Caenorhabditis elegans: one gene and its partners. The protein of the gene in region 2 purifies or fractionates together with the protein of the main gene of each other region. This does not show direct contact. Each region holds a gene or a part of one and is shown on either strand. Other genes may lie near its edges. The genes, in order: gba-4, Y45F10C.4 and hint-1.

What was found.
Region 1: the proteins of Y45F10C.4 (region 2) and gba-4 fractionate together in Caenorhabditis elegans (co-fractionation; one large-scale study listed by BioGRID). This does not show direct contact.
Region 3: the proteins of Y45F10C.4 (region 2) and hint-1 fractionate together in Caenorhabditis elegans (co-fractionation; one large-scale study listed by BioGRID). This does not show direct contact.

What each region holds. Positions count from the first base shown.
Region 1 is NC_003282.8:5,342,265-5,355,856, reverse strand, and holds gba-4 (Putative glucosylceramidase 4), read left to right. Parts: upstream 1-4,959; 5' UTR 4,960-5,018; coding exon 5,019-5,085; intron 5,086-6,435; exon of another isoform or gene 6,436-6,508; intron 6,509-6,927; exon of another isoform or gene 6,928-6,948; intron 6,949-7,135; exon of another isoform or gene 7,136-7,156; intron 7,157-7,295; exon of another isoform or gene 7,296-7,316; intron 7,317-7,561; exon of another isoform or gene 7,562-7,582; intron 7,583-8,036; exon of another isoform or gene 8,037-8,057; intron 8,058-8,169; coding exon 8,170-8,352; intron 8,353-8,640; exon of another isoform or gene 8,641-8,649; coding exon 8,650-8,799; intron 8,800-8,844; coding exon 8,845-9,151; intron 9,152-9,200; coding exon 9,201-9,441; intron 9,442-9,558; exon of another isoform or gene 9,559-9,582; intron 9,583-9,973; exon of another isoform or gene 9,974-9,994; intron 9,995-10,258; exon of another isoform or gene 10,259-10,283; intron 10,284-10,378; coding exon 10,379-10,655; intron 10,656-10,702; exon of another isoform or gene 10,703-10,723; intron 10,724-10,790; coding exon 10,791-11,023; intron 11,024-11,029; exon of another isoform or gene 11,030-11,050; intron 11,051-11,122; coding exon 11,123-11,224; and 2 more. Other genes in the region: Y4C6B.1 (WH2 domain-containing protein), read right to left, coding at 1-201, 460-1,029, 1,074-1,178, 1,237-1,365; Y4C6B.7 (Activin_recp domain-containing protein), read left to right, coding at 2,451-2,564, 2,818-2,879, 3,561-3,612, 3,660-3,739, 3,953-4,058, 4,274-4,348; Y4C6B.2 (Amino acid transporter transmembrane domain-containing protein), read right to left, coding at 11,792-11,897, 12,131-12,272, 12,358-12,630, 12,709-12,826. UniProt on the Caenorhabditis elegans protein: Glucosylceramidase that catalyzes the hydrolysis of glucosylceramides into free ceramides and glucose. C.elegans contains specific sphingoid bases, which are unique or different in structure compared to the sphingoid bases found in other animals.
Region 2 is NC_003282.8:13,660,253-13,669,173, forward strand, and holds Y45F10C.4 (UPF0375 protein Y45F10C.4), read right to left. Parts: upstream 3,939-8,921; 5' UTR 3,913-3,938; coding exon 3,763-3,912; intron 3,443-3,762; coding exon 3,321-3,442; intron 3,277-3,320; coding exon 3,174-3,276; 3' UTR 3,146-3,173; downstream 1-3,145. Other genes in the region: UPF0375 protein Y45F10C.2, read right to left, coding at 1,954-2,035, 2,080-2,201, 2,253-2,402; fbxa-215 (F-box domain-containing protein), read right to left, coding at 5,238-5,438, 5,495-6,131, 6,176-6,259, 6,318-6,527, 6,571-6,644.
Region 3 is NC_003279.8:7,276,846-7,285,561, reverse strand, and holds hint-1 (Histidine triad nucleotide-binding protein 1), read left to right. Parts: upstream 1-5,234; 5' UTR 5,235-5,250; coding exon 5,251-5,373; intron 5,374-5,417; coding exon 5,418-5,555; intron 5,556-5,629; coding exon 5,630-5,761; 3' UTR 5,762-5,892; downstream 5,893-8,716. Other genes in the region: F21C3.6 (DUF4200 domain-containing protein), read left to right, coding at 1-119, 1,015-1,207, 1,352-1,435, 1,534-1,602; pfd-6 (putative prefoldin subunit 6), read left to right, coding at 1,822-1,879, 1,927-1,997, 2,043-2,167, 2,306-2,432; rde-2 (SH2 domain-containing protein), read left to right, coding at 2,691-2,926, 2,970-3,120, 3,181-3,330, 3,378-3,476, 3,595-3,654, 3,701-4,102, 4,151-4,370, 4,416-4,823 and 1 more; F21C3.7 (Small integral membrane protein), read left to right, coding at 5,953-6,067, 6,238-6,437, 6,656-6,760; Putative tyrosinase-like protein tyr-3, read left to right, coding at 7,036-7,170, 7,253-7,385, 7,550-7,803, 7,850-7,926, 7,969-8,044, 8,085-8,207, 8,632-8,716.

The DNA of each region.
Region 1 (13,592 bases), 8.3 Mb from region 2:
GATCTCAGAGAGCGGGATCTTTTGAGACATCTTTGGCAGCGGTGGCGGAGGTGGTGGTGGTGGAGCCATGCACATTGGAGCAAGTTGGACAGACGCTGTGGAGGTTTTGGAGCTTGAAGATGGTGAGCAGACTGATGGACCTTTTCCTTCATCTTCAGATACGTCTGACGAGGAGTTGGAGGAGATTTCGAGAGAAGCTTTCTGAAATGAAAAAAAGTAGGCATATATTGGAAAACCTTTAAACTTTTTTTGTGATTTATCTGAATCCTTGCTATATTAGACCCAAAACTACTAAATGTCGAAACGAGACTTTCTGAAAATTGCTCGAAAAAAAGTTATGGCATTTTTTTAAATTCTTGGAAAAGTCTCTCTTTTTCCTAAATGTTTAAACCGCCAAAAAAAAAACCTTTTTCGGTCATTTTGGGTCTAAGACACAACTTTTTAAATAAAACTATTCACTTTTGCAATTATTCCGCCTCTTCTAGAACTCGCTCTGGATGATGCTCTTTTTGTCTCAACTCCACTCTTCTGAAGGCACATTAGCTGCTTCGAAAGCATTGCCAATTGATTTTGAATTGCCGCCATTTGATCTTCAGTTGTCAATGCAGTAACTCCAGTTCGAGTACTTGGCATACTCAATCTATCCTCATCATCATCATCAAACGTCATTGACATTGGAACATTCATTTTTCTGAATTCACAGAAAGCATCTTCATCTTCATCGAACATCGGCTTCTGCCTTTCAGGAAGACATTCCCATTTCTCTGAGCGACGTTGAATAACTCCATCTTCTAAATCATCAGTGAGCAATATTTCTTCCATGTCGTTCAGTGTGTATCTTGGCATTTTGTACGTGATATTCTGGTCGCAGAGCTCATTCAGAATCACTTTCGCATCTTTTTTATATTCTAGCATGTTTCGAGAACTTATTGATTTCGAGAAAATACGAATGAGAATTGCACGAATTTGAACGGCTCCATCACCAAAGAAATTACGCATTCGTTGCCCATTTTCGCGTAGACGATGCCGCTGAAACAATAATTCATTTGAAAGAATGTTAAGATCAAGCATACCACCACTTCCAGTTCATCCATAACGATTTGCATGAGAATTTCGATTCCAGAAGTTGTGTTTACGACGGCAAGCTCATTGTGAAGACGTTGACGTGCAATGGCCAGCTGAAAATTAAAATTGTATGTACAGTTTTTAATTTTCAGATTTATTTTAAAGACTCACATCTTGTAACGTTGTCTGATTTCCTTCTTCCTTTATCTCTTCACCTTCGAAAATAGTCTTCTTGCTCTGTGGACCCGTCACAAATATCGTTGCTCGTCGTTTTTGCTTCTTTGACGGTGTGTCTGACATTTTTCTGAAAATTTGAAGAATAAAATTGAGGAAGACATTGATTTATTATATTTAAATGAGGAAAAGACATCAAAAAAGAGAAAATTAGCTGAAATTAAGAGAGAAAAAGAAAAAGCTGAAGAAAATGGGATTTCCATTTGAAATCCCCGCGATGTGCGATGGGGCGCGATTGCACCAATCTACCGTACACCTTTTTTCAAGCATTTTTCAAGAAAACGTCTGCAAGAATAGACGTTTTGGGCTAATTTGAAAAAGAAAAAAACTAATAATAACCAAAGAAACCCACCAAACTATTTACATAGTCCAGGTGGAGTACACCACAGAGGGTGTGAGAGAGAGGCAGGTGTTCGTTGCGAGACCCACTGCTAGGGGAAGAGGGCACATAAATTTTATGATGGCCATTGAATTGACAACCGATTCGGGGTAATTTAATGCACCCTGCTGGGTACGCAATAGATATGATATTGCTTTTAAAGACATGGGAACATATTCCTGAAAAGATATCGCGATTCGCAATTTCAAGATTTCTGTGGAATGTCTTTCGGAGTTTCTTGTTATAAATATACTTTTTCAAGTAAAAAAACAAATTGGAAACTGTAGAAAGCCTTGTTTAAACTACTTCCCTCGGATTTCAGATGACGATCCAGAAGAATGAAGTAAAAAGTCAATGGCCGAGGTCTGGCTTTTTTCTAGGCCACATCAAAAATGAAGTCACGTTGAAAAATTCTAGGCGAGACCCATAAATAACGATATATTCTGTTAACCTGGAGATTGCAGAAAAGAAGCCATTTATAAAAATCCTTGTCAAAGCTAGAAAAAAATTACTGTTTCTCGATCATCTCATTATAAGGTGTGGTACAATTTCCCCAATAATTGTTTCATGAAGTTTAACCAAAGTTAGTTTTTATTTTCAATGAGTAATGTTCTTCAGAACTCTTAAATTCCACTTTTTCTTGTCAATTCTCAAAAACAAACACACAACCAACAGAATGTTCATTTATCACATCTGTTTTGTGTAACATTTTTATTTTTCGTTTTCTCGTCTTGATCTCTCCCCATAACAAACATCTCTCAGTCTCGAAACTATGACAGCAAAAATAGGTTTTCTACTAATTTTAGCTGTTATTTCTACAGTTTCTGCTCTCCGATGCTTTGAAGGAACCGTCGCATTGGATAGCAATGATCAGACTTCAAAAAAGGTATTTAAATTTTATTTACAAATATTAATATTTAAAAAATGTGTATATTTCCCATACGCGAAACTTTGTTTTTTTTTTGCGGCAGAAAATACGGTACCAGGTCTCACCGCGACAAATTTTTGTTTAATAAATGCTAATGAAGAGTACGAGTTTCAAAAAGCGGTGAAACTCAGTTTCAATTTAATTTTTAACTAATACTAGATGAAATACAAAAATTTCCAACGAATTAAAAAGTTTTAAAAAAATCTTGCAGGAGTGCGGAGGAATGTCGAATTATTGTATTCAACGTATCGATAAGAAAACTAAAGAAATGAGGTAAAAGAGCTAATGTCTATTTGTTTCATGGTCAGTCATGGCTTCTCCCTCGTTTATTTGTGTAATCCTTTTGCGGACAGTTCTCGAAGAGAGCTTGATTATTTGCTCAAATCATTCAAATCATAATAGGCGCTTCCGTCTTTTACGTAATTTTACGTCATTGTGAGGAAAAGCTCATATCTTTTGAGATTTATGATAGCTGCTGTTTCCAAAAAAGGTGTGTAAAAATTATATTTACAAAGAAAATGTAAAGCGACTAAAAGTGAAAACTCGGCTGCTCTTTTCTTTCAGGCAAAGTTGCAAAAACTTAGAATTGTGTATTCTGGTAATTTCTAGCCCATTGTCAACCTATCGACCGAAAGAATGTAATTAGTCAAACATGGTGAAATATATCTTCTAGTTGAAACTGTAAATCAAAAAGTGACATGTAAGCTCATTTTTGTGTGTAACTTTTAAAAAATCTCTCTGAGATCCAAGCTTATTAATAGTAAAACAAAATTAAAGTGAATTCTTAATTTCTAATCAGAAACAGTAAAACAGAAACAATGAAATTTTTCTTGATTTCCTTTAACTCAAATAATAAAAATTTTTCTGTTTCACATGTTCTTTAAAACTCATTCAATTTAATTGTTTAACATTACATGCTTAACATTACGCCCAAGAATAATAATAATTTTGCAGACGTGAATGCAGTTCGTGGAGCGATGAGCACAGTATGGAGGAGAAATGTCCGGTTGGTTCATTTTTTTCTGAGCATCAGACAATTTATATCAATTTTAGATGACCGGATGCCATTTCCAAACCAAAGATTCCACTTTTTGTTGCTGCCAGTTTGATGAGTGTAACGAGTGGAAGGGAGAGTAAGTTACTTTTTTTTGTGAAACTTTTTTGAAATAGGAAATACGAAAATTTTAGGTACGAAATACTTACAAGAATTTTTAAATAGATTCCAAAGAAAAAAAGAAAAAAATATATAAAGATTCATTACACATTTTTAGAAAAAAAGTTGAATCGAAAAATCTTAAAGCAGACTTCATCTATATATTGGCTATTTTTAAAACAATTTTTTTCAGCGGAACCGAGTTCAAAGCCGGAGAAACTAGCTCAAAATCGAAAGCTGTTCCAAGTGCTCCAAAACTCGGTGACGTCATCATGCCAACTGCAGCAACCCGTAAGAATGTTCGTGTGCATTGAAATTGCTTTATAGGATGAGATCAATTTTCTAATGAAATTTGAAAATCAAGTAAAACTTGTGAAACAGTAATTTTTTCAAGTGACTAAAACAATTGCTTGCTGATTTGAACCAAAATGCTGAACTATTATGGTTCAGTTGAAATTTTAGTTTTCAAATTATTTAAATAACACTAAAATTACAGCAAAATTTAAACTTTCAGAAAAGTGAAGACATCGTTCAAATTCCAACTACTGTCGCTCCAACCAGGAAGAGCAGTTTTGTCGAGCTTCCTTGATTTCTTAATAAAAAATTTATTATTTTTCTAATGGTTTAAAATTTTCCCTAACTGATTAGTTCATTTTGCATGAAATAAATGTTCAAAATAAAAAAAAAGCCTTTTAACAAAGTTTTCAAAAAATAATAAAATTTACAGAAGCATCAAAACGGTTCGTTCCAACTCGTACTTCTTCTATAATTGAAATCTCATTAAATTGTGCAAGTTTTTTTTTTATGAAACGACAGTAAAAAGCATACCATGAGAGTGTTATTACATTAATTTTTCCCACGTAATTAAATTTAAACACTGAAACGGTAAAATTTTTTGAACCTGCTAATAATATGTTAAAGTTCCAATTTCTTTATTGTTTTCAGATCACTATAGGTGACAACATGTAGCTCACTCACGCTCATACCACGAACTTTATCATACCATGATTTGTCCATTGCCCCCGTCATTATCTATATATGTCCTGCATAGTTAGCAGCCTGAAACCAATAATTTATGTGTTTTCCCTTCTTTTTTCCATAATTTCTTATCAGTTTCAATTATTTTTTGATCAGAATATTCCAACTGATTAGTCTTTATAAAAACGTGGTCAGTGTCTTCAAATATTGTTCTTATCATTTATTCATTAGTAGTCTTGGAAAGTGTCCGGTTTTAACGGAATACACTAGACTAGGCTATCATGATTTTGAATATATCCGTTTCTTTGCTAATATTTCTGGCGTTTTATGGATTTTCAAGCGATGCAAGTGAGTAGTAGAAGTGCCTGGAAGTGTTTAGAAAAGTTCTAAAAAAATATTACTGTTTCTCACTAGGGAGTGCTTTCACTATACGGTGCGATCGAGTAAAAGTAAACGTGTTATGCGATAGCTGGCATCTTAGGCTTTCAGAATCTGTAATTTGTTTCGGCGGAAGACCTCTGTGAGTCTGGAAATTTTCATCTGAAAATGTAGTACTGAAATCAGTTCATTTCCTATGGTTAACAGTGGATTTTGTCTCTGGCGCCAACAGAAGTCTCACCACAATGGTGGAAGGGCGAAATCATCGCTTCGGTGGTCGAGTGGTGAACGCGTTCGCCTCTTGAGCAGAAGTTTGTCGGTTCGGTTCCCACACATGGTTTAAATTTTGGGTTCTTTTATACAAAATTTTTAGAACGGGAAACAAATGTTTAAAACAGTTTTTTGAGGTTTTTACATTACTTTTTTGCTTTTTGATTGAACCACAATTACCCTGGAAACTTTTCAGAAATTTTTATTTTTTTCGAAAATTGCCACTTTTTTCTCCCATGAGAAAATTGGTTCCAAAAATTTTGTTTGAAATTTTTTCAAAAATGTATGAAATATTGTAGAGTGTCACGAATAACTTATTTTTCATTGTTTTCAATGACCGAATCACTGATTCTGATGCCGTATCAAGACGTTTTACCAAATCGATATTGGCAAAACATCTTGTTTTTGAGGCTCCATATCTCTGCAGAAAAAATCGCACTAAAAAGTGATCAACTAGAAACTTGTTAAACACAATGTGATCTAAAACTTTTCAGTTGAACACTTTTTTGTAAAAAATTTGGTTCCCAAGATATAGACCTTTAACTATTTAGAATATTCAAAAATAATGACGCTCAAATCAATTGGTTCCAACCTGGCAACCAAATTTTTTACAAAAAAGTGTTCAACTGAAAAGTTTTAGATCACATTGTGTTTAACAAGTTTCTAGTTGATCACTTTTAGTGCGATTTTTTTCTGCAGAGATATGGAGCCTCAAAAACAAGATGTTTTGCCAATATCGATTTGGTAAAACGTCTTGATACGGCATCAGAATCAGTGATTCGGTCATTGAAAACAATGAAAAATAAGTTATTCGTGACACTCTACAATATTTCATACATTTTTGAAAAAATTTCAAACAAAATTTTTGGAACCAATTTTCTCATGGGAGAAAAAAGTGGCAATTTTCGAAAAAAATAAAAATTTCTGAAAAGTTTCCAGGGTAATTGTGGTTCAATCAAAAAGCAAAAAAGTAATGTAAAAACCTCAAAAAACTGTTTTAAACATTTGTTTCCCGTTCTAAAAATTTTGTATAAAAAAGGCCAAAATTTAAACCATGTGTGGGAACCGAACCCACAAACTTCTGCTCAAGAGGCGAACGCGTTCACCACTCGACCACCGAAGCGATGATTTCGCCCTTCCACCATTGTGGTGAGACTTCTGTTGGCGCCAGAGACAAAATCCACTGTTAACCATAGGAAATGAACTGATTTCAGTACTACATTTTCAGATGAAAATTTCCAGACTCACAGAGGTCTTCCGCCGAAACAAATTACAGATTCTGAAAGCCTAAGATGCCAGCTATCGCATAACACGTTTACTTTTACTCGATCGCACCGTATAGTGAAAGCACTCCCTAGTCAGTTATGATATGACAAATTGTCATATCATGACTGAGAAACAGTAATACTGGAACTGAATTCAATGGAACTGAATTCTCAATAATCATTTAATAACTTCTATTTAAAAAAATTTAAAAATTCCCATTGAAAAATATTGCCGTTTCCGAGGTATAATATTTGAGTTAGTATTTGTATTACTTAATTCGTGCAATTCGAACAAATCTTTTTTTAAACAAAATGTGGAAATTGTGGAAAGTTGATACAGAAGTTTTACAAATTAAAAATACAAATTAAAACAAATATCGAGCATGAAAAATGCATTTGAAGCTACAACTTTTTAATATTTATTTTCACAAAAAAAACTCTGTTCCAACATGATCTGTTAAAATCCCACACTTTTATGATTCTGTTGCGAACAAGAAAATGTATTAGATATAACTGTCCTCAAATGCGTTTATAAAATTTCAATAAATGCGAACCAAATGTGACTAAAACGGACAAATCTGGACTTTTGCACTCAGAAATCGATTAAATTAAGACCCTAATTCTTAGTTCGGATTCGTCAGTTTTGCTACATCTAAATTGGATTCAACGATAACAATATTTTTTGAAGACTTCTAAAGATTATGTGAAACGGTATTTAAAAAAAAATTTGTCATTTCAAAAATCATTGTAGACATCAATCTTAACATAATTGCCAACATGAAAAGTTTCTACTGCTCCGAGGTAAAAAAAAGTAAAAAAAGAAAAAATTCATAACTTTTTGTTGTTATCCCAATAAAAAATTACTGTTTCTGTGTTATAATATGAGTTTTGGATTGGTATTGAATTGATAATAGTATCTTTTTTCAATATTTGAGCAATGATTTCATTACGCTTATACACATATGTATCAGATTTTTTCAAATTGTCAAACATTTGAATTATCAGAGTTTACAATTAACAAACCTTAATTAATAGATAACAGATAACAGTTATAATTTTTTTTAGGAAAATAACTCAGTTTCAATCTGCTAAATGCAAAATTTAATATTTTTCTAATCGTAACTATTTTTCTTCAAAATTAATTTTCGTATCCTTTAATCTAAATGGGCAGCAGACTGTAAAAAAATTATTTTAGAAACTTTTTTAGAAAAAATGCTTTAAAAAAAGCTTTTTCATAATTGCATATGCAAGACTAATAGAAGAAATACGGTAATTAATGTATTGTATTCATTGCTTGCAATGTGCAGGCAAAACATGGATAAAACAGTTTTAAAAAATTCCGTTTCAACAAATTTATTTATGAAATGTAAAATTTGAAATATGTATTTCGTATGGTAAAAATTTTCATAACCACAATTTACAGAACTGGAAATAGCTTTAGACATTTTCTAAACACGTAGTCCTGCACAATTTCCAAAACCATTCCAACTAACTAAACACAACTGAAGCCAATTTCCAGAGTCCCTTCCTTGCTCCGAAGTGAAGAAAGAGTATGGAATAGTTTGTCGTTGCAATGCCACGTATTGTGATACAATTGAACCACTTGGAACTGTTACTTCTGGGAAAGCAGTTGTCTATACAACATCAAGAAATGGAAAAAGAATGAACAGAAGTGAATTGAAGCATACAACTTCTTCTACAGGTACGTTAATTGTATAGGAAGTTCCATGAAGGCACAGAATTCTTGCCTGCATTCCTGTCTGCCTGCCTCCAGAATACACCGGAAGCTTATCAGTAACTTCTGGTTCGAAACTGATGCAAAATAGGCGGTAGGCAGGCTCTTAGATAGAGAGGCAGGCACCGCTCAACTAACACAAAAACCTTTATAATATTAGAATTTAGAGAATGATATTTTTTTATTTTGAAGTTGGCAAAAAATTATTCTACTGTTTCACAATTATTTTGTAACAATTGTTGATATGATACATCGTTTTTGTAGCCAAAACAAAAGTATATGTGAACACAACTCAAAGTTTTCAACCGGTAATGGGATTTGGAGCTGCATTCACTGATGCTGCTGGAATTAATATGAAGATGCTGCCACAGACAATGCAAGATCAAATTATTCAGCAATACTTTTCCGATGATGGTAAGTTATTTTCAAAAGATTAAGCTTGAAAAATAAATAATTTAGGTCTCGGGTATGTTTTTGGACGAGTTCCAATGGCTTCAACTGACTTTTCAACTCACGAGTACAGTTATGACGACGTTAAATTTGATTTTGATCTCAAAAATTTCAATTTAACAGTGGAAGATCTCCAGTATAAAATTCCATTTATCAAGAAGGCAATGACAGCTTCTGGAGGGAAATTAAAGCTATTTGCAACTCCATGGAGCTCCCCAGGATGGATGAAAACTTCTGGAAGAATGGTTGGTGCCGGAGAGCTATTGGGAGATCAGAATGGAAAATACTATCAGACATGGGCACAGTACTTTGTAAAGTAAGTTCTTATTTTCAAAGAAATAAAAAATAAAATTATAAAATGAAAGATTCTTCGAAGCCTATCACGCTCAAGGTATTGACTTTTGGTCTTTGACACCACAAAACGAGCCAACAACTGGAATTGATCCACTTTGGAAATGGCAAACACTCTTTTTCGATGCATCAATGGAACGAAATTTTATAAAGAAACTTTTGGGACCAGCACTTGCTTCATCACCAGTGACTAAGAATTTGAAGATTATGATTAATGATGATCAGAGAATTAATTTGCCACACTGGCCAAATGTAGTAAGTTATTGGTGGGATAAAACATTGAGTAATAGGTAGAAATGATTGAATGACTAAAAATTAATTAGATACTGTTTCACATTCAAAATAAATATATTAAAATTATAAACAAAACAGTAATCCAATACGAGAAACAAAACCTCTTTTATTTATTGAAAATTTTCAAAACTTTTATAGCTCTTTCCTTTGTTTATTTTTTTGTTTTCTATTAGGTACTTACCGTTTTTTAACACTATTAAGACTCCATTGTAATTAAGTATTTTCGAATTTTTTTCGAATCAAGACACTAGAACGGTTATTTTAATTTTAAAACTCGCTTTCACCTACAATTATTACTGAATTGACCGAATAGTTCAACAGTTGTGTAAATTGTTTTAGAAAAAATTAAAATCGAACGACAAAATGTGCAAAACTGATAAGAAACGTAATGCTAAAATGGATTTGTTGAAACATTGAAACATATCAGATATTCAAAAATTGTACTGTTTCACATTCAAAATAAATATATATATAGAAATTATAAACAAAACAGTCGAAACAAAAGTACTGTTTTTGGGAATCAAAATTGAGGTATTTTTGAGCTTTCCGTAGTCTTTGGTAAATTATGAAACAAAGTGTAATGAAGTATTTATTGACTAATTGTTAGAATTTGAAGATTATGATGAATGATAATCAGGAAATTATTTTGCCAAATTGGCCAAATGTGGTGAGTTGTCGTTTTGTTGAAACAGTTATGCAACAGTAGGGAAAAACATAAAATAATCAAACTTTGTGCTGTTTTACATTCAAAATAAATATAAGAAAATTATTATTGCCATCAATCTTTCTTTGGCCTTGGGAAGAGTTATCCGCAGAATTTACCTATTTGAATTTTTAACCCTTGATTAAAAATCATATCCCATTCCGACGTCCCCACTCTTTTAAAATAAAATTTTAGATTTTAACGGATCCAACTGCTGCTCAATACGTCCACGGAATTGCAATTCATTGGTATGAAGACTTCATTGACCCAGCAACCGTACTCACTGAAACTCACGAGAAGTTCCCAGACTATTTCCTTTTGGCAACTGAAGCATGTGCTGGATACTTCCCAGCAGATGGACCAAAATTGGGATCATGGTCTAGAGCTGAACAATATGCAAATGATTTGATTAAAGATATGGGAAATTGGGTTGGAGGATGGGTTGATTGGAATTATATTCTTGATTTACAAGGTTGGTTTGTGAAGTGTAGCAACACTTGCGATTTTTTAATTTAAAAACATCAAAAACCATAGTAAGAAACAGATTTAGAATTTTAAATCTTTGATATAACTAGGTTGAAACAGTTTTCTAATATTTATTTTCCAGGAGGACCAAATCTTGCCAAAAACTTTGTCGATTCAACAATAATCGTGAATGCAACTGCTCAAGAGTACTACAAACAACCAATTTGGCATGTAATGGCTCAATTCAGTAAATTTGTGAAACCGGGAGCTATTCGTGTTGGAATAAACATTATTGAGAAATCAGTTGATGTTGAGGGTCTTTCATTTTTGAATCAAGATGGTACCAAAACTGTGGTTTTATTGAATAAAAATGAGGTAATTTAATCAAAAAGAGATAATCCAACATGGAATTATTTATAGTTCTAGTTTATTAAATTTTAGAAACAGTAAAACAAATTTTTATCCAAACTTCAGGTACTCAGCTTCGACGTGGCAATCAGTGACGTCAGTGCTCCAAATGTGATCTATGATTTGACAATCCAACCGAATTCACTGATTACAATTGTTTATAAATAAATTCTGAACATTTTTGAAATTTAGTAAAGAATTATGACAGTAATTCAAATCGTGAAATTCAATGTGTAAATAATAGAGTAAAATTGAACGTTATTTCCAGAAAATTTTTGTGGGAAAATTCATGGAAGTTTAATTAACTTTCAAGGGAAGCGAGATCATTGTTGAACCATTTTGCAAACCTGCATCTCTCTCCGTTATTTTATCAATTTTAAAACTAGTGTGTCTTGTGAAGTTTACAACACCTGAAACGTGACGTCAGTCGACTGCTTGGCGCAATGGTAGCGCGTTCGACTCCAGATCGAAAGGTTGGGCGTTCGATCCGCTCAGTGGTCAAATTTTTTTGTCGGAATTATGAAACAGAGTAGGAAATTCTGCAAGAGCGAAACCATAAATTTTATTGACAATTTTCATTTTGTAGATAAAAGACGTATTAAAAACATATTCATTCAATTAAAATTTATACAAAACTATCAGAAAAGAACCCGTCAAAAACTTGAAATACCCTAACCTTGTGGTCGACCTGAAGTAACATTAAATTTAAATTTGAAGTTTTGAGGCTTCTTAATTTCATCCATGAGACACAGCTTTAGCCATTGAAGCAACGTCCAGACAAACTTCGGATCCCGTTGCAGAAATGTTACGGAACATTCCACAGCACGCGATTTTTCCGTGTCTGAAAATGGAAAAATCCGGTATTGGTAAGATATGATTAGTTAAAACTAATTGTAAGTAGAATTTTTAAATCTAGAATTTAATTATAATTTAGTAAATTTAAGCGCTGAAATAAAAAGTCTGAAATAAAAAACACAAAATTAGACAATTGGTTTTCTAATTTTTTTCTGCTGTTTCAAAACATTTTCTTATTCACAAAAACTTTAATCAAAACAATTGGCCGTCCATACTCACGTAAAAGTCAATTGTCGTTGTTCTTCCATAATTCTTGCATTCTCACTCCAAATTCTTGCATAACATGGAGCGCTGAATTCACTCTGGAGCATCGTTTGCATTGCTGAAGTGGTAGCAGCCACTCCTCCGAAAATTGCAAATACTGAAATGGAATATTAAATAAATGTTTTCCTAAATTGAAACAGAAACCAAATGCTCAAACTACCCTAAGACAAAAAAAAACTAACCAAGAATTAAGATATTTGCCAGAAGTTTGATCTTATCCGAGTTTTGAAATATCTCCTTAATCGTTAACTTTTCCTCATTATCCTTATTTTCTTTCTTTTTCTTAATTGTGGTTAGCGCCAAATTAAATACAATTGGAACTACTAAAGCCATCATTGTAATTGTTGATCCACCGACAAGATCCAATAAAACTCCAAAATTTGGAACAGATTCCGCGACAAAAACTACTGAAAGCATAACTAGAGCTCTAGCCACGATTCTTTGCCATCCAAAATCTGAAATAAAAAATAATATTTAATTTTTCAAATGTTATGTTGCAGAAAAAAGGGCAAAAAATGGCAAATAAACCGTACCATGTGACATATTCAAAATTTCCTCAAATTCCTGGTTCAATGGATTGAAAGTGATTGTGAGAGCCAATGAAACATGAAGACTGATCAAAATATTCACAATTGTTTGGATATTTATATTCTGTAAAATTCTATTGAAACGAGGAGAACAATTTCAAAAAAAATTCACTGCTTCAAGATTTCAATTTACATTTTTTGTTAGAAAAAACTGTTGACTGAATCCGTATCAAAAACACAAAATATGACTATTCATAATAACTCACTGAAACTGTGGTTATTTTTTTATTGTATCAGTAGTTAAAAAAAACTATTAATTGAATGATTATATTTTAAAAATGGTTATCATTTCTAATTTTCTGACATTGTTCTATCTAAGAATTAAAAAAAACTACGACAAGTAACTAACACAACTGATCAGAATATTCACCATTTTGTCACCATAATATAGGTTTAAACTAATTTGAGCAATCTAATTGTAAAACTAGCCAGAAAAAAAACATGATTACTCTTAATAATCAAATGAATTAGTGAATAATGGTATTTTTTTTAATCTATACTTTTTTACTGTTTCAAAATAAACATTTATATAGAAACCTCTTTTTTTAAATTTAGTCTCAAGTTGCATTTAGGATTTTCTAATTTTCAACCAGAATGTTCAAAAAAAATTCAAGCCTATTTTGGCAGTAGGTAGGTTGCCTCGAAGACTGGAAGGTTTTTTTTTCCGACATTACGAGCGTATTTGTTACATCGAATGGAAGAAAAATATATACATTGATTCGTTGAAACATTATTTTTTCAAAAAATTTCCTTCAGTTTCGCCGAGTATTTATATTCGAGATTACCCACAATTGAAAGTAATTCTTTCGCGTTTCAATTTTTCTGAAAAT
Region 2 (8,921 bases):
CAATTAATGGTGTGGGGTGAAGAAAAGAAAAAATTGAAAGAACAAATCGAACGGCTAGAAAAATTGCTTGCCAAAAAGAATCCGGACAGGGAAAGTTTTGAGCAGCACACCAATCATCTGCACGTATGAATGAGCAGATGACAAACGAGTTTCAGGAATTTGTAACTTGTTTGCATCAGTGTAGCAATGACGTTTGTATATATTCAACTATTTCAAAGTATTGTGAAACAGTAAAATATTTTAAAGATTGGTATGTTCTAATTTTGCGACACATGTTCCCAGGAGGCATCGAGAAAGGGGACATCGCGTTCAAAGACGGCATTGGGAAGAATTTTTGTAGGTTTCAAGTAAACATTATGAAATTGTCTATTTAATAAAAAAATATTACTCTAATATTCTTCTGATGACTTGGTGACGATTTTTGAGATCATAACCCTTATGAACTTTTTTGGACATTTTTTTTGTGGACTGATTATAAAGAACTGTTTAGTAATTGTAAAAAAATGCAAAATTTCCGATGTTATGGGCATTCTTGAGATTTTTTATTTCTAGATATAACTAGTACATTGTGGTCAACTTATGACGTTTATACCTCTACAAAAAAGTCAACAATAAACTTGTTGCTCATTATATTGCTAACAACTTTTAAGTTGGCAACTTCTCTTATATCACATACGGACAGAGTTAAAAGCTGTAGAAAGTATAACGTCTTTGTGTTCTTTTGAAAATTTCATTGATTTTTTGTTAGAGCATGAAAACTGAACACCCAAAATTGTGTGAAAACTATTTTCTGCAATATCTACAACTTTTTTCAAAAACTTTTTTTTTGGTAATTGAAGTGTTTTATATTGCAATTTTCTAATATTGATTTTAATTACAAGAAAAAACATAGGACTTGAAAAAATACATTTATTTTTAATTTTAGGACAACAAATTGAACTCTGCAAGATTAAACTGGAACTCGGTGTTGTGACTTGGGTCCTGTGGTGCCACTGCATCCCAACTTGGCAGATTTCTAGGTGATTGCCAACATGAGAAAAGGATTATCTCTGAAAATTGCAGTTTGAGTGTTTAAATGATGGAGGAAGAACACTATTCTAGGAGAAAATAGATGTAGCGAAAATTGAGCAACTTCAGAAAGCTCTAGAACCGGAAAGAGAAACGCATCAACATCAGTAGTAGTATTCTTATATGGTAGATGAAACAGCAACTTCTATAGGTATACATGCGATGATCAAAATTCAGTAAACTAATTATTTTATTGGAATTGCGATGTTTAAATATTCGAAGCCGAACCGGCTCTACGATGTAATATTTCGAAAACTGCAATACAATGATAATGTGTTCACCGAATCTTTGAATCCGAAACTTGCTGCTGACGGAAATTGGTACTGCCGAAGATTTGACAAAATATCTCACTGAAAGTAAAGAAGAAATGACAGTTTTTTTTTCAATCAACAAACAGGAGGCGTCACATTGGAATTGTGTAGAGGATTAATTACGCAATAGAAGACAAGTACATTATGAGCTGATCCATATGAAATATTTTTGCAAACAGCTAGGAAGATGTCGACAATTTGAAAACAAGGTTAATTGCAAAACTATTTGTGTTCGAATTTGCAGTCTAATTCTTTTCTATTTATAGAAACAAAAGTTTTGGAAAATAATTGAAAGAACAGATCGAATAAAACGTAATGAAACAATATTGAAACAGTAAAATATTTTGAGTATGAGTTTATTTAAATTTTGCAACAAACCGAAAAATGTCGTGTTCATTGTCAAGATTGTATTTGTTCTATTATATTATTTTTGGCAAGAAATAAACTAGATTTTGCTGCAAATATTCACTGGAAACTCCAAAATGCTTTTCTTTCTTTTATTATCAGTTTGAAAACGTTGAAAGCTCACAGATCAGAAGTCCAACAAAAATATATATTTCATTAATCTCAAGTTCTACTGATTTTCAATGTAAGTGATATATTCATTTCCAAAAGCAGCCGCACAGTCAACTGGTACATATTGATTTGAGTAGCATCTGGAATTTATTTAATTTCTCTGAAAACTTCGGAAACCACTTACGATGACTGTTTGCATTGAGCTACTTCATTTTGTGAATTTTCATTTGGCTGGCTCGCCACTTTTTTCTCGTAAATGGAAAAAGTACATGTTGAGCCAATTTTCAGTTCAAGAGTTCCAGAATACTAAAATTAAAGTTTTTTTCAGACTTTTCCAAGAAATATACGAAAATTTACCGTGCACTCGGTGCAATATACTCCATTTAAAAAGAACATGGTGCAACTTTTAGCTTTTGTGACACAAGTTGTTTGGAGTTGGGATGGATATCCAGACACCAAAGCAATTGTAACAGAGAGGAGAAGGACAGTTGAGACGAAGGAATTCATGATAACAAGTTGATTCAGAAATGAATTCAGGTTGATACTTTTATAATTTTAACAACAAAAGAAACAAATTTCTGCATTTTGCAACGAAAAATAGAACAAATGAAAACTAGAGGAATGACGAATTTTTAAAGTTTGTGTTTAAAAAAATAAAATTGGAAAATGCAACCACTTCTGAACATTCTTTTCTCCCTGTTTTTTTGTCATTAAAACGACTGTTTCATTGAAATCTTAAAAGCATCGTGTTTTTACTTATGGCATTATTGGATTTAGATCTGGAGAGAACATTGTTTTGAAATAAACTGACAACTTGGATGCTAAAATCATCTGAGAAAATTATAAATTTTCGAAAAAAAAAATTTGAAAGTCAAAAGTTGGTAGTTTTTGATAAATGTTAGCTTACACAAAATTCATGTGACATTTGTGACATTTGTGACATTTGGGAAAATTTCAAATTTCCAAAAAAAAACAATGAAAGTAACAAGTTGCTAATTTTTGAAAATAACGTTCGTTAGGTTACACAGAATTTATCGCAAAATTTTAAGTTTTTTCTTCCAAAAAAGTTTCAGATGATTAGCAAAATATATACTTCTAGATTTGCACAATGAGCTCTTGACATGTGATTTTTTCAAGGAAAATGTATGATTATTTGAAAAATTGCAAGAAATCGCCTTATTATTTTGTGTTTCTTTTGATGTTTTCATAATGTTTCCACTTTCTTACTTTAATTTTGAATGAAGAACATAATGAAATTATCAAAACGATTTATTTGTTTCAAATGATCATTTTTGATTTTTCTTCTTTCGCAATTTCAGCAAGTTTTGCAGCGGAAAACGCTACATTGCAGTCAGCAGGAGTCTTCTCGGTTTGGTCACATCTGAAAGTGTTCCTTTAATGTCAGAATTATTGAAACGAACGTACGGTGTCATTGTACATTGTTCAACTCTATTGAGAGGATCATCATTAGCTGGGAATACAGTAATCTTCAAGTATTCTGACGCAGTGCAGTTTGTATCACTTGTGACTTTCCACAAGGCGGTTGTCTGGTAAATGAATAATTCAAAAATAAAGCAAGAATTTGGATTACGCAGATGTCAAGTTTTTCATTTATTTTCAAAGTTATAATGCAAAAGTCTGCCCATGTACAAGAGTTTGCCTCCTCGTGTAATATTGAAAAAAGCAAATATGCGTACAAAAAATTGGAATTTTTTTCAATTTTAGCACTACACCGCTGTGCAAGTTTCCATTTTCAATCGTTTTTCAACAAAAAAGGAAGCAATTTGTAAACTTGAATGAAATTCCTAGTTTTTAAGGAATGATAAAAGGCTCTTAGAGTTTCATTTTATAAGGTTTTAGAAGCCACCTTGCAATTTCCGGTTTTCGCATGATTATTGAGCTTTGACAAATTGCATTCGCAGACTGCCTTCCATTCCTCGCTAATAGAACTGAAACTTCCAGAAATGATAGCCACGACGAATGAGAGTAAAAGGACAGTTGAGGGAAGGAAATTCATGATTATCAATTGATTTGGTTGATGATCAAGTGATTTCAGCTTGTCACTTTTATACTTTTAACAACAATAGACTCCATTTTCTTATTTTTCTCACAATATATTGTGGGAAACGGCGGAACAATTCTAGAGTTTATGACTAATCGAAAAAAAAGCGGAACAATTTTAAATTGAATTTGGGAATTTGCAAAAACGGAATTTTTTTCTGAATTCAGTTATTCTTTGACAGTTCTTTTTTTTGTGATATTGTACTCCACACTCGCTTTCATTTTGAACCTGAACAAAATTTTATTGAAAGAATTTAGAGTAAAAAGAGTAAAACATGCCGCTCAACAGCATCCCAATGTTTCCAATAATTCTTAGAAGATGCATCCCAAGCCGTAGAAAATGCTGATTTTGCTTGAAGCGTATGGAAAGTGATCCAATAACAATTCATAATAATTATTAGTTGAGTGAAACGGTAGATTTTTTTTTGAAAAGGACATTTCAAAATTATAAATACCTATCCCCTCCAATGCAACAATCGATGAAGCAGGCTCACTATTTTTTAGAGTTTGTTGCAAAATTGCCACCAAATTTATTTCTGTCAATTGAAACCAATCCAATGGAGCTTAAAGAATACATGTTTCCTCAACAGATCAATTTGAGATTAAGTCAGAATTTTTGAAAATACTTTTCCTAGCTGAGTGAAACAGTAAATTTTTTCGAGAGCAGGGCTATACAAGACAAGAGCCGAATTTTGAAATGTACTGCCATTTTTGGGGTTTTTATAAAAAACTTAAAATTCGACAATTTTAGTTTTTTTTGTTTCTGCATATATTTTCAGGTTTTTAGAGACAAAAATATTTCAGAGAAGGTCATTGGAGCTGATGTTTAGTTCAAATTAAATGACAAAACAGTCACTCGAGAATTCTTCAGTGTTTTTGCTAGCTGGGTGAAACAGTAAATTTTTCGGGGAGCAGGACTGTATAACCCAAGAGGCAATAAACCCGACTTCTTCCGTTCATCAGAAATGATGAATCAATATTTTTTATTTCCAATTTATCTCCATTTTCTGTATAATGTTAAATATGAGCAGGTCTGCTAAAGTGTATGACAATGGAACAATTTAAAACTGAATTTGAAAATTTGCAAGAACCGAAACTTTTTTGTGAATTCAGTTATTCTTTGACAGTTTTTTTTTCGTGATAATGTGCTTTATTTTTAACCTGAACAAAGGTTTATTGCAAGAAAAATCTCAGAGTAAAAAGAGTAAAACAAGGGGTAAGTGTGCAAATCAAATATCAGTACATACATTTTCGAGAAGAAGGCAATTTTTGTTTGATTATCTACATGTTTAATTTTTTGATTACAAATTGTCGGTGATTGTACTCAATGTGGAAGAGGCGCTTCTTGTTATTATAATTCATGGATCCATAATTCCAGAATACATTTTCAGCATTTCGATTGAAGAATTTAATGACTGTCCGATGGTGAAGATCTTGAGTTATTATGTGGGCATATTCGAAATGTTCAGAATTGGTGAGAACCTGGAAAATAAATTAAATTAAATTTAAAACTTACGAAAATTAAAATGGAAACTTACATCGCGAATTTTTCTGGCCATTCTTTCAGTGAAATCTGATTTTATCGCAATTTCGAACCGTCGGAAATGCAGCAAATCCTCGATATCCAGTAAAACTGGAAATTCCGTGCAAATCTTCAATACTTTTGCCTTCTTGTATTGTTCCATTTCGACGAGTACGTTGGTCCACGGGCCACCGGAACCCGGTAACACCTGAATTTCCTCGAGAAATCCCGCTTTGAAATGGCAAAGAACCGAAGATGTATCGGCAAAACTGAATCCACTGACGACAATTTTCTTCGCATAAAGCTCAATTTCCACAGAATCGAAAAATTTCCTGAGAACCATTGACAATTCCTGATCGTTTGATCGTTCTGCTCTCACGTGGAACTCTTTGCTGTGATTATTTGAATTTCTCATCAATTGAATGGCTTCCGTCAGAGCATATTCAACGTGATTCTTGTTTTTAACATATTTATCACGTTTTCCATATAAAACATTGCAATCGGCACCACAATGAATATATTCAATTCCCGGATAACCGTCCAATTGAAGATACGATGTTCGATGTCCAATTCGTACTATAATCCTTTGGAAACAAAACGGCTCAGAATCGATGAGTGTGCGCAGGTTTTTAGACACTTTTCGAAGCGTTAGTCTGAAAATTTTCATTTTAAATTTGAATAAAACTGGCTAACAAACCTCTCCATTGGCATAGAGAAGCTGGAAATCGTATTAATCACTTCGATTGGCAATTCATCAAGCTTTATTGTGTTTGGATTCCAACTGAAAATCAATTTTTTAAAAATGAAATTATTGATTTCTTTGAAGTCTCTGAAAATACCTAATTGCATCGCTGAAATCAGCATCTCCTCTTTTAAATTGATAGAACCAGAACTCGTATTCTCGATATTCCATAACATCGGATCCAACGGCTCGGCAAAATTGATTATAAGCGTCTCGTATTGAAGTTCCGAGGAGACAATTGAACAGGATACATGCGCGAAGTGCTGTTCGATTGTTTCTCATCAGATCCTTTTTCTCGATCATTTTCCTGGAAAATCATGATTTTTAGAATCTAATTTTCAATTACTCACCGTTTCAACGAACGATATTGTTCTACTGTGGAATTGCTATCCGCCATGCTGGAAGAGTGAGGAGCTTCGCTCATTTTAAGATTTTATCTGTAAAAATATAATTTTATTAATGGAAAACGCGAGGAAAATTTGGAAGAAGTGAATGTGAACATGGAAAACAAAGAATTCTCAACGAAAATTGAATATTTAGCGCTAAATGTTTTTTATGTTTGTTTGTTTGGTAGGTCAATTTTTTGAACAAATTTCAAGTCTGAAAAATCCATTTTTTGGGATTTTTCCATATAATTACTTAAAACTAGTATTTTTATATTTTTCTTATACAAAAAAATAAATTGACGAACAAAAAACGAAGAGAAACGAGTAAACTTTAAAAAAAACGATCTGAAAATCCCAAAATGGAGTCTCTGTGCATTTGCGCGTCAAATGTGTCAAGTACGCAACCACTTTTGGCTACAGTACTCGAAGTTTTAAAATCACCAATTAAATTGATTAATCAATTTTAATCAATTTTTCAATCGATCGCATAACTTTTAAAGTGTGCTGTTGTTCTGAAAAAGTGCATCTCAGAGTTAAATTGTTAGCGTTAAAATATTCATTTCCATGGTTTCCATTTTGAATTGAGCTTTTGGATCAAACCACTACCGAAATTACATCCCATGAAGATCACAAGGACACACCTGTTCAAATGTTTCATACATGCGCGGTACAAAGAATTTGATGAGAAAACATACCCCGATAAATCAACAATTAGGCCTCGTCGCGATTATGAAAGCTTGGGAAGCCAAATGCTCGTATTAAAAATCCTATATATAAAACCTATATATAAAAAAAATAATTCCGTTTGTGCCGTAGTTTGTAGTCTGTGACGTCATAGCTTACAAAGGCAAGGCGTTTTCGGCTGTTGGAGGGATATTAGTTTGGGGTTAGTAGTGGGATATGGCCGGGGTACTGTAGTAGTACTGTAGAGGTACTGTAGGAGTACTGTAGGATTACTGTAGTTTAGGAAAAATTGAGCTTTTGTCTTTTGAAGAGATATAGGTTTGGGGTTAGTAGTGGGATATGGTCGGGGTGCTGTAGTAGTACTGGAGAGGTACTGTAGGAGTACTGTAGGATTATTGTAGTTTGGGAAAAATTGACTATCCGTCTTTGGAAGGGAAATTGGAAACTTCGGGAAAATTTTGGAATGTTCCAGAACCTTCTGGAAAATTCTGGAAAGCTCTAGAACCTTTTGAAAAATTCGAGAAAATTCTGGAATGTTCTAGAACCTTCTGGAAAGTTCGAGAAAATTCTGGAATGTTCTAGAACCTTCTGGAAAATTCGAAAAAATTCTGGAATGTTCTAGAAGCCCCTGAAAAATTCGAGAAAATTCTGGAATGTTCTAGAAGCTTCTAAAAAATTCGAGAAAATTCTGGAATGTTCTAGAACCTTCTGGAATATTCGAGAAAATTCTGGAATGTTCTAGAACCTTCTGGAATATTCGAGAAAATTCTGGAATGTTCTAGAACCTTCTGGAATATTCGAGAAAATTCTGGAATGTTCTAGAACCTTCTGGAAAATTCGAAAAAAAATTCTTGAATTTTCTAGAACCTTCTGAAAAATTCGTGAAAATTCTGGAATTGTTGTGGTGAGACCTTGCTGAGACCCATTGTGGTGAGACCTGAGACCCATTGTGGTGAGACCCTTAAAAATTTGGGCGGGAAATTCAAAATTTATGAGAACATTGTTTTGAGGGAAATTCAAGTTTTCTGTGAAACTATTTTTGTTTTAGTACCTTCTGGAAGTTTCAAGAACTGAAAAATTGGGGAAAATTCTGGAATGTTCTAGAACCCCTGTAGGACTTTTTCTTTGTTTTGCTACAGCAATGTTCAAAGAACTTAGTAATTAATTCTTCAGACTTCTCCAGTTAAAGAAAGTTTTTAAGTAAATAAAAAAAAAGTATAGCTCTGTAGAATTTTTTCGAAAGCCTGATAATGACAATGTGTTGGAAGAAAACCCAGAAAATTCTAATTGTCTCTGTGAGTTTTCTGAATCGTATACCATGGAAAGTGAAAATGCGATTTCATCGATAAAGTGCCAACTTTATTTTGATGAGGCATTTGTGAATGATTAAAAAGGCATCTATGTGTTTTACATTTTAAACTCCGCCAGTCGTTGGCCGCGCCGGAGGCGCGGTCATCGGCTGGTGTATATAATAAAGTTTAAAACAATTTTTTTGCAAAGAAAAACAAAACCCAAAAAGTATATAGAATGCATAAAATCGTGATAAATTATATAGTGGGCAACATCCATTGATATTAGTTATCAACTCTTCTCGTGGTACATCTTACCCTGGTGAAACAGTAACTTTTTTT
Region 3 (8,716 bases), on a different chromosome or scaffold from region 2:
GAACGTGGAGAACGGGAACGTACAAAATGGAGAAAAAAGCGAAGGGAAATTGAGCTCAAGAAGGTAGCTGAACAATTGGAGCAGCATCGTATTAGAGAAGAGGCGGAGCTTGCAAAAAGGTAGGAGTAATTTCCTTTTTTAATTATAAGGAACTTATTTCTTTTGCTTTGTTATTCATAAAAAAATATTTAATTGCAAAAAGTCATGTTTGTTGGTCAATTTCTTCAACCATTTTTACCGATTTTCATAAAACAGGTGGAAAAAAGCAATTTGATATGATAATCGATGTAGGTGGAATGTTGGTTTTTAGCTATTAAATTGAAATGTTTCTCAGAAACATAATCAAATAGGTATATTCGTATTAAAGTGAGGTAAACTTTGATATTTGGCATTACATCACTAAGTTTCAAAACTTTTTTTTTTCCGTAACTTAAAGTTTGGGTAGCATGAATTAATACTAATCTGGAACTATTTAAGATCCCTATAAAATAGTTGGCAACGTTTTGATTGAATTGGGGTTTGTCTTGAAGTACTCGAAAATTTTCAATTTCTGTAGTATCAACAAAGAGCAGCGATAAAAACCTAACGTAAACGCCACGTGGAGCCAGAACGTCTCATTTCGGTTTGATCTACATGAAATGCGGGAATTGAGACGCAGACATCTCATCTGATTTCGCACGGTGAAGAGCGTGCGGACGTCACAATTTTCTGGAACACTATTCCCGCATTTTTCGTAGATCAAACCGCAATGAGACAGCCTGACACCACGTGAAACGCGACTTTCCTAATAAGAACCAATCGGCGACTATCTCCGCCTACTACTGAAACAATCAACGGATGAAGGCGGAGTAGCGTCACTGATTGGTCTGAACGTAGGCGGAGCGAATCCCTTATTGGTCTTGTAGTTTTCACTTTAGAGTGATTGTAAAGATTAGAAAAGTTGCAATTTCAAATTTCGTTTTGTTATAAAATAAAGTGAACATTCTGATTTGTTGAATTTTCAAACAATTTCAGAAAAACGGAAAATCAGAAGAAAGAATTTCGTAAACGCCAAGAAATATTCGAGAAAGTATTTCAAGACGCTGAATCTGGACAAAAAGCAGTTGAGAATGTGATGAGTGATTATCGGGAGTCAAGAAATGCAATCAAAGTGCAGTTATATACCGATTCAAATGATTTTATTCAAACACAACAAATTGAAAAATCGGTGAGTTTATGGTTTCTGTTTTACGATTTGTTTTATGATTTATTAGTATATTTGGATACAGTGTATATTAAATATTTTATTCAATTTTTTTTAGACTTTCAAAAAAGTGGATCAAGGCTAAAACAAAATTGATTTTTTTTCCAGCATTTCAACGCTGCTGGAGACCGACTTCGTTCTTCTGAAATTCAATTATCAAAACTAGAGTCAGAATTGAAAAAGACAAAACAGGTAAGAATATATTTTTATGTTTATAGAACCTAGGGAAATACCCTGAACTTACAAGAAACTTATTTAATTATTGTATATAATTAAGCTAAAACTTTCAGATACGCGAAGAATATTATCAAGATTCCATGCAAAGTTGGTTTTCACGATTCTGGAAATATCTATATTGAAAATATTTCGTATTGTCACTATTGAATGAAATTTTAGCAAAAGCATAACAAAATTGAAGTTAACATATACAATCCAGTTTTGAACTTCCGCCAAAAACGGAAAATGCGTCAAGAAAGCTTGCTGGCGCTTTGAAGGATGGCGCAGAACCCGTTTTTCTTCTAGATTTTTAAACACAATTTTGTTTTCTTTCACTTCTTTTCCCACTAAAAACGATCAAAATGGCTGATATGGCTAAATTCGAAGAAGAAGTTAACAAGCTCAGAACTCTTGAAAAAGGTTAGTAACTGTTAATTTAAACAATCTTTTCAATCGTTTAATTATAGACCGCGAAAAGTACTTCACGAGTCGCCAAGAGATGGAAATGAGATTAACTGAGAGTAAAAATGTGAAAGCGGTAAGAAAAAGTTTGAGATTCAGTTTTCATGTTATCTTCATTCAGGAGCTTGATCTGATGGAATCCGACTCGAAAGTCTACAAACTCATCGGAGCGGTTCTTGTTCGTCAAGATTTGGAGGAGGCTCGATCGACTGTGGAGAAACGGCTTGAGTTTATCGACTCTGAGACGTGAGTTGTAACGTTTATCATGTTTCTTTAGTATTACTTCTTGCACGCTATTGATTTACACGAAACAAATAAAAATAACAAATAAATTTTACCTTTAAACGTTTTAAAATGCAACAAAACTTTAATTACAATTTTCAGCAAACGAGTGGAAGCCAGCATCTCAGACATTTCGAAGAAGTGTACGGAACAGCGAGACAAGGTGATGAATATGCAAAAAAGCTTCCAGATGATGGCTCAAGCAGCAGCCCAAGCACAGAAGAAATAATCCAGTTTGTTCTATGAATCTCATATTTTTTGCTCTTAATTTGTTATTTTTTGCCTATTCTTCATCTCTGGTGTTTCTCCGAAACGAGAAGATCACATTAATTTTTCTATGAAAAAAATAAGTTTCTTGTTTCGGGGAACCATTTACAATAAATGCTTTCAAACTGTTTTATACCATTTGTGCTCACGTCTATGTTAAAAGTCATTGCTAATTACATCAGTTCTGATTTATAACTATATTCATTTTCTTGCTATTCAGATGCATAATGGGTACCATTCTTATTTTCCTCCAAATCACTATTATGCTCAAAGTCAGCCATCATCGTCGTATAATCCCCAACCACAAATTCAACAACCGCAAACCCAAATATATGGATTGGTAGTTGGTTACAATAAATATGGAAACAGAAATTATCTTTTCTATACCAAAAATATCGATGGATTTGTCGAAATCAGTGGAAATATTCAGAGCCTGCAGATAGGACGCTGGCTAAAGTTAGACATTATTTTATCTGATTTTATTAACTAGCAATTTTAGATTAACTGTTTGTCAGAACTTCGTGGGACAATACGTATTGGATTCCTCAAATAGTTGTGGATATGAAAACTGGGACGTTTTGCCGAATCACAGAAATTCATCGGCGAGATTCTTTCCGAAGTATGAGGCTAACGATGAAGGAGAAATTTTGGTAATCTCAAATGGAAAAAGTTTTAATAAATAAAGAGTACGGATTTTTATAATTTTTCAGATAACAGCTCGATTTGATGTAATAGTAGATCGGAAAAATAATTTGTATGATTTCACCAGTTACGATATTTCCTATGATCATATTATTGACGACTTTAGTCTGATCAAATCATCATGTCAACACTATGATGGACGCAGTTTTATTGTTGAAGTAAGTTATCGATTTTAAAAAAAACTATTAAAATAAAAATATTGCAGGCTCAAGCATCTCTGGCAGGTTGGGTCGCATTGAGTGTGCATGAAGATCCACAAAAGCTACACACCTGTGATGCTGTAAGCCGAAATGGATATCAATCAGTATGTGGCAAAAGTGTCCTGGTTCATTTTGAATTGTTCACATTTTGGTTTTTGCTTATCAAAATTTCCCAGAACATATAAGCCACAACCTCCTGCAGTTTACATAATATAATTTCAGCTCCCGAATCCAGTCGTTGATTCTGATGTACAGTATCTTCATGATACAAGACTGTTGGATGTATGTGACTTATAGTTCAGAATTTTTCAAGTAATCACATTTTTAGATTATGACTGGTAATGGATATGTTCAAACACCCGAAACCGACGTACAAGATCAACAATCAAGTCAACATCAAGAAGACGTGCATTCTCAAATGAACTCGCAGACATCTGATTCGTACAATTCCTCTAGAGTTGTGTCAGAGAATCGGGAAATACCTCCGGAAACTTTTCGAAGCCAAAGTATCGAATTGAATCAAGTTGATTCATCCTTGTCCCAGACTACAATCTCAAGTCGAGCAGCACCAGTTATTGATTCAAATCAGTTATCAGATGAAGATGAAATTGATGATGAAGATACATACGGAACACGTGGAACATCTAATATTCCGATGAGACCGTTTATTAAAGATTTAGCTCCAACGATGCTTCAACTGCTTCGTCAAGATAAAACTGATTCCGAAAAAGTACGTAATGCCAGAACAATAATATTAATCTTCATCACCATATTTCAGCCTCAATCTGCTTTATGCACCGTTGTGCAAAAAATCGATGGCTTTGCAATTTTGTACACAGCCAAAAGAGACGTTATAAACGTTTTGCTTCAAGAAAGATCGTGTGAAGGATTGGAAAGATCCCCTCAACTCGGAGACGTGGCATTCTTCGATATCTTGCCTCGTAGAATTGAAACAAAAGATAGGCTCATTTTCAAGATTCCATATACACATATTGCAGGTATTTTACAATTTACCAATGTTTTAAAAAAACTTTAATTTTAAGTGAAAAAGAAACCAGACACGCCAGATTCTCTCCTTAAAATTGATTGCTTTAAAAACTCGGTCAGATGCTTCGGAGGAGTGCTTGAAATGAAAGTAAAAATCGCACTTTCAAAACCTGAACTAGTAGTGGAGCAATATCATGACAACACAGAGATGAACTCGGATCATCATTTTTATTATTTGAAAGCAACAAATGGAGTACTTGTCACAATTCCAAAAGAACGTCTTCTGAATCATTTGAATTCGAAATTATCAGCAGATTTTGACCTAATCGCGTGGGTTGTTCATCGAAAACCAATTGGAAATGTTTCATTACATATTGGAAAGGGAGGTGAAGCTTATCAACAGTTCACAAATGGAGATATTCGAGAGCTTCCGCCATTGTCTTCTAATCAATATTTCATGAATGGTAAGTAAGAGGGAAACCGAGTTTTCGAAGAAACCTAGGAGAATTCTTGGTTTTCTATTCAAATTATTATTTCAGTTCGAAAGTAAAAACTGCACAATCGACAAATCACGTTATGGGTTCAAATTGTATTCTGGTACATTAATTCTTGTTCTTGTGTTAACTTTTTTGATTATTTTTTGTATCATTTTACTGATTAAAGCATTTATTTTCACATGTTTATTGTTTATTTCTCGTTGTCTAGCGTTTTCATCGTTTGAAATATATTGCATATTGGTTATTTTTTGCCCATTTTTCAATATTTTAGTATGGCTTCCTCTTTGGTTAAAACCGCTTTGCGTCTTGCTTACCGTAATCCAGTTAGGTCAGGGTTACTGTAGGCAAGGTGTCTTTATCGATTCCACCATTTTTCAGGTTTACAAAGAGAAACATGTCGGAAGTAGATAAAGCCCACTTGGCGGCAATTAACAAAGATGTTCAAGCCAACGACACTCTTTTCGGAAAAATAATTCGAAAAGAGATTCCAGCGAAAATCATTTTTGAAGATGATGAGGTATGTAAGATCAGGCAAACGATCACATAAAATATTTATTTAAGGCTCTCGCATTCCATGATGTCTCTCCACAAGCTCCAATTCATTTTCTTGTGATCCCTAAGCGTCGCATTGATATGCTCGAGAATGCCGTTGATTCGGATGCTGCGCTTATTGGAAAGCTTATGGTTACTGCTTCAAAGGTAATTATAAATGAGTAAAAACGAATTTGAAAATCCAGAAATCTCCATTATATTACTCTTAAATAAAATTCCAGGTTGCAAAGCAGCTCGGCATGGCCAATGGATACCGTGTTGTTGTGAACAATGGAAAAGATGGAGCTCAATCAGTTTTCCATCTTCATCTCCACGTTTTGGGAGGACGTCAGCTCCAATGGCCACCTGGATAAATATTGCATTGCTTACATTCTGCCACTAATTCATTATCAGTCTTGTAAACAAATCAGTAAAAAATTATATTTATATTTATTTCCAAAACTATTTTAAACCGTGGCATCATGTTTTTTGAAATAAATGCATTCTTTTTCTTCTATCTGACGTGTTCAATTATTGAAACAATTAATCATTTCTGGTATAAAATATGACGCTGTACGATAAAGTGAAATCAATTCTGACGATTCCTGACAAAAATAGTAACGATTCGATCGTCAACGCAACTGACTTGTACTTGGAGTGGGAGAAAGGAGACGGGCAGTGTAAGTGTCACGTGTTTCAATGGCAAAGAAAGAGTTTTTAAATGTCATGAAATATGAATGTCGCCGGGCCCGGTTAGCTCAGCCGGTAGAGCACCAGACTCTTAATCTGGTTGTCGCGGGTTCGAGCCCCGCATTGGGCTGATCTTTTTGTATAGTTCAATTTTTTTCAGATCTTCTTCCACTCTTATTGATTTTCGTTATCTTCTTTTGCATAACTTGCGGTGTGTTTCAAGCTTTGTTGAGCCTTGTGGTTCTCTGTATCAGAAGCCTTTGCGGATTTGATGAGGAAGATGAAAACTTCAATATCAATGGAAACCACTTTGCTAGAAATTCGACACCTTCTGAACATCACGAGGAAATTGGAAATTTGGTACGGTTGTTTTAAAAGGTTTTTTGATTATTATATTTAGAAAATAACAATATCAGAAAATCACAATAACGGCCATTCAGATTTTATTCAAAGCGTGTCCTTTCCATGGTCATAAACATGATGGAAGATCCAAATTAAAAGTAATTAAGTGATTGAAAATGATTATGGGACCTTTTGAATGAAATTTTGTTTCTCAACCTAATGTAAGTCTATTTTAGATGGGAACTGAAGCTGCATCCATATCTGAACTTCCTCAATATGGAACACCACGAACCAGAAAATCGAATACTTCTTCATCTCAGAACAGATGCCTTTCAGTTTGATTCGTTGAGTGAATTGGATTCTCAAACTTGATAACTCGTACCTTGATATCTCAATAAAAAGAAAATGAAAACTATGATAAATTCATATTCCCAAATTTCTACCATCCACTTGTTATTATTAATCTTTGTGTTTTCTTCTGTTATTTTTGTTAAAACATCTTCCTTAAAAACAGGTCGAGATAGAAAGTGTACTGTTCCAGTGTCACGACAATCAACAAAATTGCAAGAGTATAAGAGAACAATTTACAAAAATTGGATTGGAAAATATAACAAAAATGATCCGGTATATTATTCTGCTAGTATATTTTCTAATTTTTGAAGTAAACTCTCAGTTAGACTGCTCAAAAGCTCCAACTCCTGCTATTCGAATAATGTGTAATCAGATTCAAAGATGGGATCAAAAAGCAAGGGTAAGTGGTTTAAGGATTACATTATTTGAAGAAATGTACTGAAATTATTCTTAAACTTTTGATGCATAATCTTAAAGTTCAGGCAACTCCATCATTATCCGGTGACGTGAAAACACCTGGAATTGCTGGTAAAGCAATGGCTGCTGAATTTTCTCCAATTGCAAGTAATGTGTTTCAATGTATGGATATCGCTTGTCTTTGTGTATTTTTCAGAGGTAAGTAACATAATCTGTCATAATTTTGACAATTATAAAATAGCCTCAAAGCTGATCTATAAAAGATAAATGTAATATAGAATGTAGAATCAATTTGTGAGCTTTCATCGTTTATACTTTTGGTGATCAAGGAAGTATTCCCAATTTTTCGTTAGTTTTTTCAGGAACCGGTGGAAATAATTGCGTGGTTCAAGGTCGTCCACTTGGAAAAGTCGTAAGAAAAGAATACCGTATGCTTTCTGATGATGAACGACAACGACTTCATCAAGCATTCCGAACTCTGAAACAGAATGGAGAATACGATCGACTGGCAAGAGTTCATGCTCAATATTCTGAAAGTGGAGCTGCTCATTCTGGACCAGCATTCCTTCCGTGGCATAGAGAATTTGTAAAAAGAATGGAGTTCCTGATTCGACAGGCTTGTTATCTCTCGTATTTAAAATTGAAAAATAAATATTGTTTAGGTTGACCCATCACTTCATCTTCCATATTGGGATTCATCATTAGATCAAAATCTTCCAGATTCAAAAGATTCAATCTTGTAATTATTATTTCAATTTACAAATTTGATTTCAATATTCAGATGGACGAATGAATTTATGGGAGATGCCAATGGAGAAGTTAACAATGGACCATTCAGAAGCTGGAAAACTGTAGAGGTAAGGAAACACTTTATTTCAATTCTTATAATTTTTATAGAACAAACCAGCAATCACAAGAGCAGTCGGGGCTCAGGGAAAAGGATATTCAGAGGATGAAATCAACACAATGCTAGGACAAACAGATATTGCTCAAGTTCTTGCTTTCTCTGCTCCACAGAGGGTAATCATCACATTTTCTCCTAAACACTTCAAAAATTATTCTAAAAATGGAGCGAACATGGCTTTTGTTATAAATTATAGATAATAGTCTGCAAATATCGAATATAACTTTCAAAAAGTTTTAAAATTTAATAATGTTCCAGAAATGTCATTAGAATTAACCAAAGTTTTCCAATCGGCTGAATTATTTGCAATTTATTTCACAAACTGGTTGAAAAGGCATATTGAAAAACAAAAAATGCGATGAACTTTGAAAATAATTACTTTGTGCACATTTCAAAACAAAATTAGCCATTGAAAAAATTTTCGCAACTATGAAGAGATTTTTGAAACTAAAAACCAATTTTTTTTACATATCATTAAAAAACTCACGGAGGCTAGAACTTCTGAAATGTTTTTAAGTCTCCTAAAATTCAAATTTATAGGGTTGTCCTTATCAACCAAACTTTAACGTCCCTGAATACACTCATGGAAATCCTCATATATATGTTGGAGGTGATATGTTAGAGA